2 linked regions of the Schizosaccharomyces pombe genome follow. Changing the gene in region 1 together with any one later gene gives a genetic interaction. Each region holds a gene or a part of one and is shown in the gene's direction. Other genes may lie near its edges.

The links.
Region 2: of pqr1 (region 1) and pho84, a mutation in one rescues a mutant of the other (synthetic rescue), as found in Schizosaccharomyces pombe (one study listed by BioGRID).

Annotation. Positions count from the first base shown.
Region 1 is NC_003424.3:2,420,673-2,425,529, reverse strand, and holds pqr1 (ubiquitin-protein ligase E3), read left to right. Parts: upstream 1-1,703; 5' UTR 1,704-2,326; coding exon 2,327-3,739; 3' UTR 3,740-4,084; downstream 4,085-4,857. Other genes in the region: protein Rrg9, read left to right, coding at 4,689-4,857.
Region 2 is NC_003423.3:4,441,890-4,446,762, forward strand, and holds pho84 (inorganic phosphate transporter), read left to right. Parts: upstream 1-2,211; 5' UTR 2,212-2,362; coding exon 2,363-4,081; 3' UTR 4,082-4,311; downstream 4,312-4,873. UniProt on the Schizosaccharomyces pombe protein: High-affinity transporter for external inorganic phosphate.

The DNA of each region.
Region 1 (4,857 bases):
TAATTAAGAAAACATGGTTCTCATGAAAACTTATATTGTTATTTAAGGTCTTGCTGCTATATATGCATTAGCAAAATGCACATTTCCAAAAAATGAAGTTAAAATTATCAGTTTACAAAAGACATTGAACTAAAGATCAAATTTTTCCACAACCGAATTAAAATGTAAGATTGTGTTTTTTAGAAGAAGCCAATGCGCTAATAATAATGCCATGCTTGCATTGCTTAAAAACAAACGAACTTCTTGCCTTCATGTAGCAAGGCTATTATCACGAATTTTCATGTTAATTTCGCTATGAATGCTTGGTCTTTTCTGAGTTAATCAATACTATTTAGCTAAGGTTTCGCTCATATAGAATACGAAAATTTCGCATTTATTAATGCAAATTTCCTCGATGTTTTTAATATATTGTGTTGCTAATCTGACTATATAACACTGCCTCTTCAAGGGACAAATAGTTTTAACAAAATTTGTTTACATTATTGAGTCAAGCAATTACGACCCGATGTTATAAGCATTACGCAGATTTCTTTTACAAAAGGGAGGTCTCTTTCATTTACCCCAAGCTTAGCATTACAAAATCATGTGCAAATGAGAAGACTACTTTTAGGGAAAATAAAAATCTAAACTTGATTGGAAAGCGAAAGTTTAAATCCTAAATTGTTTGAGGTTGACGTGTTAGTTTTTCACCGTAATAAGTAAATAGCATTGTATAATGAATAAAAGAAAAATTTTGATAGTTTAACAATTGCTGCTATTCATATTTTAATAGAATCTCAAAATTCATACTAATCGACTTTCTTATCCTTCTATATTCTTCAATATTTCAAACTCGTTTTAAGTCTCTCCTATAGCTTGGGATTATTCAATGAAATTGTAATTGTCGTCCTTTCCTTTACATTGTGAATACTAAAAAATTGCTTCTTCCAGAATTGTTTTATTGACTCACGGATTTGCAACATGTCCTTCTCCTCTTTTTTTTTTTTTTTTCTTTTTTTTTCTAATCTGTAAAAAAACCAAAATTTTACAATCTCGATAATCCTTTTAATGTCTATAGTCATCAAACACGTTTATCTACTTACTCAATACGATAATGTACAATAATTCCATACGAAACTTGCCCTTATCTGTTTTAGTTTTTTGTGGCACACCGTTAACTAATCGTGAATAAAATGGTTATTACAGTCATAGTCCGGTTTAATCGGATCAATCAAATATAATTAGATACCTACTTATTATCATATACATACAAAATTAAAAACAATACAAAAAAGAGGAAAACAAAGAGGCTCAACTTCTTACCGACTATCCTTTATCTCTCTTTTTTTTTTATTTTTTTTTATTTTTTCTCTTTTGGCACAGTGCTACAGAACATTTGTTCAACAACCCAACTCTGTACGTTTCACACATTGTCAGCAAATTGTTGACAATCAGCACAAGCCTCATTCTATAAAGCTAAGGAAGATTTCGTACCACTGCTGGTCTTCCAATTGCCCCTGCTTCCTTTCCTTTTACTGTAAGGCTTACCGGAAGGCCGTTTACTAATAACATTGCGAACCCGAGTGCGGTTGGGTAGTATTACCTATACCGCAAGTTCCTCCGCTCTTTTTATGACGTCAGGGGGAAATGCTTTGGTTTGCCACCTTGCGTCGTCTAACGCGGTGCAATATAAGGATGCGAAAGGACTGCAAGGATTTTCACCTGTCATGAACCAACAAGGATTTTGACGATTAGTACAGTGTTAAAACTTTTGAAATAGTATCGAAAATTCATTTACTATATGTATAAGTATTAAGGAGTTACGCATCTCTTTACAATTTTAAACACTCACGTACCTTTGGTTGAATCAAGCCAGGCAGGTCTCCGTTTGCGAACGACGGTTTCGGTTGATTCGAAACGTGGTATTAGAAAATCATTTTATTTATTTTCATTCCCATTCCATTTATCTATTCTATCTAATTTCGTCCCATTGTAGCTTGTTGTTTTATCACAAGCAGCTTTTAGGTCTTTGGGCTGTTACTTTTTTCTTCACTTCATTCCATTACTAATATATATATATTTTAATCAAAACGTACGCAATTCAACTCTGCGAAACTCTATCTTGCAAGCTTTCTTTCTCCATCTGCTTGTAATAAAGAAAATACTTAACTCCGATACTTCGATTGCAAAGGTCGGAGCACTCATTTTTATAAAAACCACAAAGCTTTCTCCTTCTTGGGCTTTGGTTTTTTATTCTGTAGTTTTACCGCCTTTCAAATATTTTGATTTCAATCTTTTGTAAAGGTTTCATCCTCTTTCATTTTCATTGAAAAAAAGTCCTTCCGATATGAAATTTGGACACGATTTTAAAAGGGCTCTCGAAAACGATATGCCCCCTGGTTGGGGCGAGGCTGCCATTCAGTACAAGGCCTTAAAAAAATGTATTAAAAGGTTCGTTTTTGAGCTGTCTTCCTTGGGTCTAAGTGCTGAGACCATCAGTAAATTGATGGCTCCGACTACCGTGGATCCCCAACAAGCTATTACGCTTAGTTACTCCCTTGGCAAAGAGGGACACATTGTTGTCCCCAAAATTATTATCAACGTAAATTTTGATAAATTGAAAACTGATAAGTTCGCTGCTTCAATGTTCAAGCAGTTGAATGCATCAAATATGATTACAACCGTCAGGAGTAATTATGCCTCAAATGTTCCTTCTACTCCTTCGGATTCTACTCAGCAGCCCCCTACCAATACGTTACCAAGTGTGTCCGCATCATCTCAGAGCGTAGAGACTTGTGAAACGGTTGATGAAGATATCGATACTCAAACTATGAGTTCTGACATGTCCGAAGTTCAAAGTATGGAAATATCGTTGAACTGTGACCACGAGTTTTTTGAAAAATTAACTTCGGAGTTGCAAAGTGTTGAAGGACTACAGCGTGAACAGCGTAAAATTCTTTTTAACGCAATTGATATCCTGAGTCATGAAATATCTCTTATAGCTTCCCCTAATTCCAAAAAGAAATACAAATCTCTTTATTGCTGGAGAAAAATTTTCGAAATTTATATGGATTCCGATATATTTATTTCTTGCAAGGAAGCTGATCAGAGTCATGAACGCACTCCCGAGCTCGCTGAGCGCCATTTGAAATGGTTTGACGATCAGGTCAGGCTAGCAAAATGTCTTCCCTCTTCCTCAAAGCATCGTGATCGTATTTTGTATGCTAAGTTTCTTGAACTTAATGAAAGTTTGTTGAAAGTTGCTTCTTTTCAGCAAATGAATAAGTTAGCCGTTACGAAGATCATGAAAAAGTTTGATAAGCGGACATCCTTAACCGCTCAACCTCTATTTTTTCAAGTTATCGAATCAGACCCTCTTCTTTTGGTCGACAATGCTTCTAAAGCTATATGCTTTTCACTCTCTTCTAAGCTATTCTCGATTATTCCTCAACTGAGGGATTTTGAATGCGCTATATGCTCTAACGTTGCTTACAAGCCGGTGAGATTAGGTTGTTCCCATGTTTTTTGTTTGCATTGCCTTATCATTCTTCAGAAACAGAAAGTTGATTTCTGTCCGTTGTGTCGTGCCAAAGAAGTTATGAAAGCCGATTCTCGCAATATTGATCACGCCTTGATGAATTTTATGAAAACATATTTCCCAAGAGAGATTAAGGAAAAGTTTGAAGAAAATGAGAACGATACGTTTACTCCTTCTTCAATTTCTGTTGTATCAGGTCAGAACAATTGTGTGATAATGTAGATAGACGACGGATTTGTTTCCGCTAAATTCCCAACCCTCTCTTAAAGGCTCAGGACTATTTTTTACTCACTATATTTGATTATCTGTTTTTTTATGTTTTCCTTGCCTAATTTGCATACTAACTTTCTATTTTTCTTTCCTCACCTAACTTTTATTGCTGTAAATAGCATTTTCGTGTGTTTCTTTGTTATAAACGTTTGCTTATAATTCTCGGTTTTTTCTTATATTTAGCTTTTTTAAATGCTTGTACATAATACTTGCTCATCACATACCATTAATCTTTACTAAACCGAACATATTTTTTAAAAATCAACATAGACAATAGACATTTATAGAATTTTAGCTTACAAAAGCTGTGTAATGTTTTAGGAAATCGTATTCGTAACTTAAATTTACCAAATTTGAACTCATTATTCATATTATTCGGAAGTTCTTGTAGTCAACCTCTGATGTATTTGTAAACTTAACGTAACTTTCAGCAACTAAACATTGATAGTCCGAAAAACAATGCTTTTATCTCAATTCCTAAGTTACCCACTTACAGTGTTTAATATGTCTCTCTTCACAGATTTTAATGAATAATTGTGCTATGGGTAGTAGTTTTTGTGTTTGGAACACTAGCAAAAGCTGTTTTTTGCTTTCTAAAACCGACTTTACCGGAGCATCAAGAAGTCCTTTGCCACGATTTCACTGAAAACTCCGAATGAACAAGATTTAAGATATTTGACAACGTTTAAATCCGAGTATTTCGCGGAGTAATTTAAGGCTGTTTACAACTATTACTAACTCAACCTAATATCGGAGTAGTTTTGAGCGTTGTACTTTTTTGTTATAAGTGGAAGTAATTATACTTCACCAGCTACTAAATATTCTAAGTGGTAATGGAATATATAGTGTCATTACTTAAAGGTCACATAGACTGAAAAAAGGAAACGTTTGGATTTTTTTGATGAATATATTCAACTATACTACTCTGATTTTTCGCCGTTTAAGCTCTACCTTCAAAGCTTCAAACAAAGCCTCTATAGAGTGGAAAAAGCAGAACATAGCGGTCAAACGAAAAATTGGAGGCTATTGGAATCCAAAAAAGAAACTTCCTTTAGAATCTATGGACGAAA
Region 2 (4,873 bases), on another chromosome or scaffold:
GTAAAACCATAAACAGGGATTGCAGATTACCGTGAAAGGATGTGTATCAACGTATCATTCTCGACTGTGAATCTAGGGAAATGTTGAGAGAATAAAAAAAAATAACAAATCAAAATTGCCGAGTCTTAGGAATGTCATAATTTATTTTCTCTCAAAAGGTTTATTGTGCGACATGGAGCCGGCATCTAATTTACAGTCACTTATACGATGTCAAGTCACAACAAGCAACTATGGTAGCAAGAGAGTAGTTACTTCACATTCCCATGAGAATAGAACAGTCCAAAATCCTTCTCACACATTCCTTTTCGCTTACACGAATTTCAATTTTTATTATTTATATTTTTTTTATCTTCGAACGATGTGAGTAAAATGCGTGTGAATTCGGCAATATACGACGCTGGAAATAAATTAGTAAACTGCCCTTGACTGATCACGATAGTTATATGGAAGAAATTGTTTCGACTATCCTAACTTAATTCCTATTATTTTCAGAAAAGGGTTTAATTTTTCCAATCTTCCAGTTCAGTTTGCATACCGAACGGTACACAATCTTACCCTGTCAAAAACCCCCTTTTTCAATTTAAAAAAATGACGTCACACACTGCATCAATAGCTATATAAGAAGCCTGAGTACCTAACTATTCAAATTTTTAATTTTAATTTAAACGCATTGGTAGTATGAAATAGAACGAAATAAGTCATAGAGGATGAGATAGAATTAATTCATAACAAATTAAACTATGAAAATCGTTAGAAATTGAAATTTATTAATATCGACATCTGTCCTTATAATAATTAATTAGTTTCCACGGTCTTTTCTTGAAAATTATTCTGCGTTTTGTCGAACTAGAATAATGCACGAAAGATTAACTCATCGTTGCTTTTAATTAGATAGCAAGAATGTAAAACAATGGAATTTGCTACTCGACACGAAAATTCAAAAATTTTCGAATACTATCAAATCATCTTATATCCATTACACTTGTTGAAGGGTGGCGGGCGGTAAAATCCTCGTATCCGTTCATCTTTTTGCTTCGGCAGTATATGCTGCCTAATAAATTTTAGCGTTCGGTAAACTGAGGTTCCTAAAATAAACTACGGTTTACGTGCATGAATGGAACATACTTGGAACCGAAATTGCTGAAGTGGCTGTTTTGTGCGGATGCCGGTTGTCAGGTCAATTCCGTGCAGAACATTCTGCTCGGTACCTGGTAGTTGTTAATTTCAAAGACCGACAATAGGAGAGGTGAGGGGAATTTTGTAGGATGGCGGCATTTCCGTTCGCCGAGTTTAATGGAAGTGGAAGCATGCATGCTTTGTTGATGTCTATTTTGTCAAAGAAATCTTATCACCCAACATCCTATCGGGTTGGAGGATATCGGAACCAACTTATCCGGGTGTTCTGTGTGTGGGCATGCATTGAGCTACACAGCATCAATCCGTGGTATTCTGGAATGTATACTTTTGAAACCGGCCGATTACTGGTTTTAAAACAACGACATCGCGTGCTTTCCATGGAATTGAAAAAACCAAACAGCTCGACGATTAAACCGTGTTTTACTTGGGCCAATTCTGTATTGTATAATGACATACTGATTTTTATTTTCGCAAATTTCATTTTGAATGCATACCGTATTGAGTTCTCTGCAGTATGAGTTTGTCTCTTAACTACAATTTTGTCTCAATTAGTAATGTCAACGTTATTAACTTAAGATTTCCGAGTGGGTCTAACGAGGGTATTACCACTTTTGCAACTTTTTTATGAACTGATACCCCTTTAGTATAATTGTCTGTTTTTGCAGTTGTCCGCTAGTGCTAATTCTTTTACTTTAAAGTGCAAATCTTAAACCAAATTGACCCATTACTTTCCCTCAGTTTTCTAACACCGCGTTACCTTAATCCTGAAATAGAAAATTTTAATTGTTAATATTTTTTTACTATTTTTTTATATTTCCTTATTGGATTCATATCAGTTACAAAGCAAATTGGACGGTTTACTTATAAACATAGTGTTTTGCATTTCCGATTTCTTCCTGTTTTGCTATTTTGTTTTGAAATAAGATTAAGCAGGTGGTGAATGTGCCGGTTGCCAGGGAACGTCAACACCAAAGCTTTTGATCTTAATTATTAATTTTTTTTCTATAACAAAGCCACCAATCTGACAAACTGGTAGTTTACTATATATATTGCTCCATTGCATACTGAATTATCTGTGTGTGTAAACCACCGGTACTCAGTTTTCTTAATTCTAATTGCAACCGCATTCGGACTTCATTAATTTGCATAAAGCAGCGATTAAGACTTACTTTATCATTCATTGCTTTCCTTTTCTCTCATATTTTGAACGCAAGGAAATCACAAGATGGCATTTGGGAGCAAAATTTTAAACATTGGATCTAAGTCTGATGAGTATAACGACGATGCAGTACCTCTCGACCAAGTCGAAGAGGGTGCGCAAGAGCGTCGCTATTACTTGGGGTTGACAAAGCGCGAATTTAAACTTATGATGCTTGCAGGTGTCGGGTTTTTCCTTGACAGTTACGATCTTTTTATCATCAATTTAGTTACTCCCATTTTTGAATATCTTTATTGGGGTGGTATTGAAAAAGGTCCCACAGGAAAAGGCCATTATCCCTCTGGTATTCGTGGTCTTGTAAATGCGTCAGCCAATATTGGTAACATTTTTGGACAACTGTTATTTGGTTTTATGGGTGATTTCTTTGGCCGTAAATTTGTCTACGGTAAAGAAATGGTTATTGTTATCATCGCTACTGTTCTGGTTATCGCTATGCCTAAAAGCATTCATTCTCCTCTTTCGAAAATGATGTGGGTTTTCTGTTGGCGTTGGTTGCTCGGTGTAGGTATTGGTGGTGATTATCCAATGTCTGCCGCTATCACTTCTGAGCGTAGTAAAATTAAACGACGTGGTACACTTATTTCTTTAATTTTTGCCTTCCAAGGTTTCGGAACTCTTGCTGGTGCCATTGTTACCATCATCCTTTTGGGTTGTTTCGAACATCCATTGAATCGGGAAGGTCATTATCATAAACTCGAAGGTGTCTGGCGTCTTCAATTTGGTCTTGCTTTGGTTCCTGCTATTGGTGTTCTTATTCCCCGTCTCATCATGAAAGAATCTAAATCATACGAGAATTCTAAAGCACTTAATAGTGCTGAAGGAAAAGATCCAAAGGCATTCTTCAATACCGATGATGAGGACAATATGAAGAAGTCATCTAGCCATGGTGACTCCGAGGTTGTCGAAGCTTCTGATCGTTATGCTAATCAAGCAGATGCTGCTGACGCTGAAGTTGATAACATTGAAAAACAATTTGCCGCAGTTACAACCCCTGAAAACAGCAGTGGATTTATCACTTACTTCAGACAATGGCGTCATTTTAAGCATCTTTTGGGTACATCTGTTTGTTGGTTTCTGTTGGATATTGCCTTTTACGGTGTCAATCTTAATCAATCTGTCATTCTCAAGAATATTGGCTTCAGTACTGGTACGAACGAATACCGCACATTGATGAAAAACGCAATTGGCAACTTGATTATCGCTGTTGCCGGCTATGTTCCTGGATACTGGTTCAACGTCTTCCTTGTTGAAATTCTTGGACGTAAATGGATTCAACTACAAGGCTTCGTGATTACTGGTTTGATGTTTGCAATTTTGGCAGGACGTTGGAACGAAATTTCCACTGGTGGTCGATTTGCTTGTTTTGTTATTGCCCAACTGTTTTCTAACTTTGGTCCCAACTCCACCACTTTTATTTATCCCGCTGAGGTTTTCCCTGCACGCGTACGTGGTACTGCTCATGGTGTTTCAGCTGCTTTGGGTAAATGTGGCGCTATTCTTGCATCACTTCTTTTTAACTTTTTGACCGGTGTTATTGGATATGGTAACGTTATGTGGATTTTCTGCGGATGCATGTGGGGTGGCATTCTTTTCACACTTTTGCTTCCTGAAACAAAGGGTCGTGATGCTGATGAAATTGATAGGTTGGAATTATTTTATGGCAAGGACGGCAAAGTTCAATGTGATAGCAAGTGGAAGAGCTGGTATTTTAATGGAATCTTTTAATTAAATCATAATGCCGCATACTTTGCTTTTTTTCTTGGTACATATAATTTTATAATACTTAAAACATGATTCCCTTCGTCTTTTGAAAAGTTTAATATACCTTGGTTACTGCTTCTGTTACCAGGTTTGGCCAAATATTTAGTTTTGTTCGTTTGCTTTAATAAAAGGGGACAGTTTTCGGTTAGTTTGTGTTTATTCAGCGATAATTAATAAAAATTTTAAAATTGACGAAATAACGCTCTCTATGCTTTTTCTCGCTATAGACTTTATTAGTATAACCTAGCTAACTAAGGTAGGCGTTGCTAAGGTAAAGCAGTCACGATTATTGTGACGTGCTAATTAGCAAAAAGGTATATATAGCATAGCCCCCCTAATGAACTATTCTTTTACAAAATTTGGGAATGTGAATTTACTCTACTTTGTGTTAAATTATTAATAGTCAAGGAAAACTAGGCATGCAAAAGAAAAGCCTTATGTTAAATTTTAAATGTTAAATTACAATTAGATTCATAGTTTGGCTTGCTATACCTTAGAAAGTTATTTTATAGAGCATGCGCGAATTTAAATTTATGGTACGAGTGTTTTCATTGATTAACTGTTTGTTGCTTTCTTTCTACTTATTATCTCCATTTGGATAAGAAAGCATAAGCATTCGTTTTATACAAATCAGAGTGACATATAGTCTACTTAAATTTACAATTGATTAGACTTTGATAAATGTAACTGAAAATTTTTGTTCATATCGAAGGTCAGCGTCTAAAATTTTTAGCATGTTGACTGAATTCTTTAAAC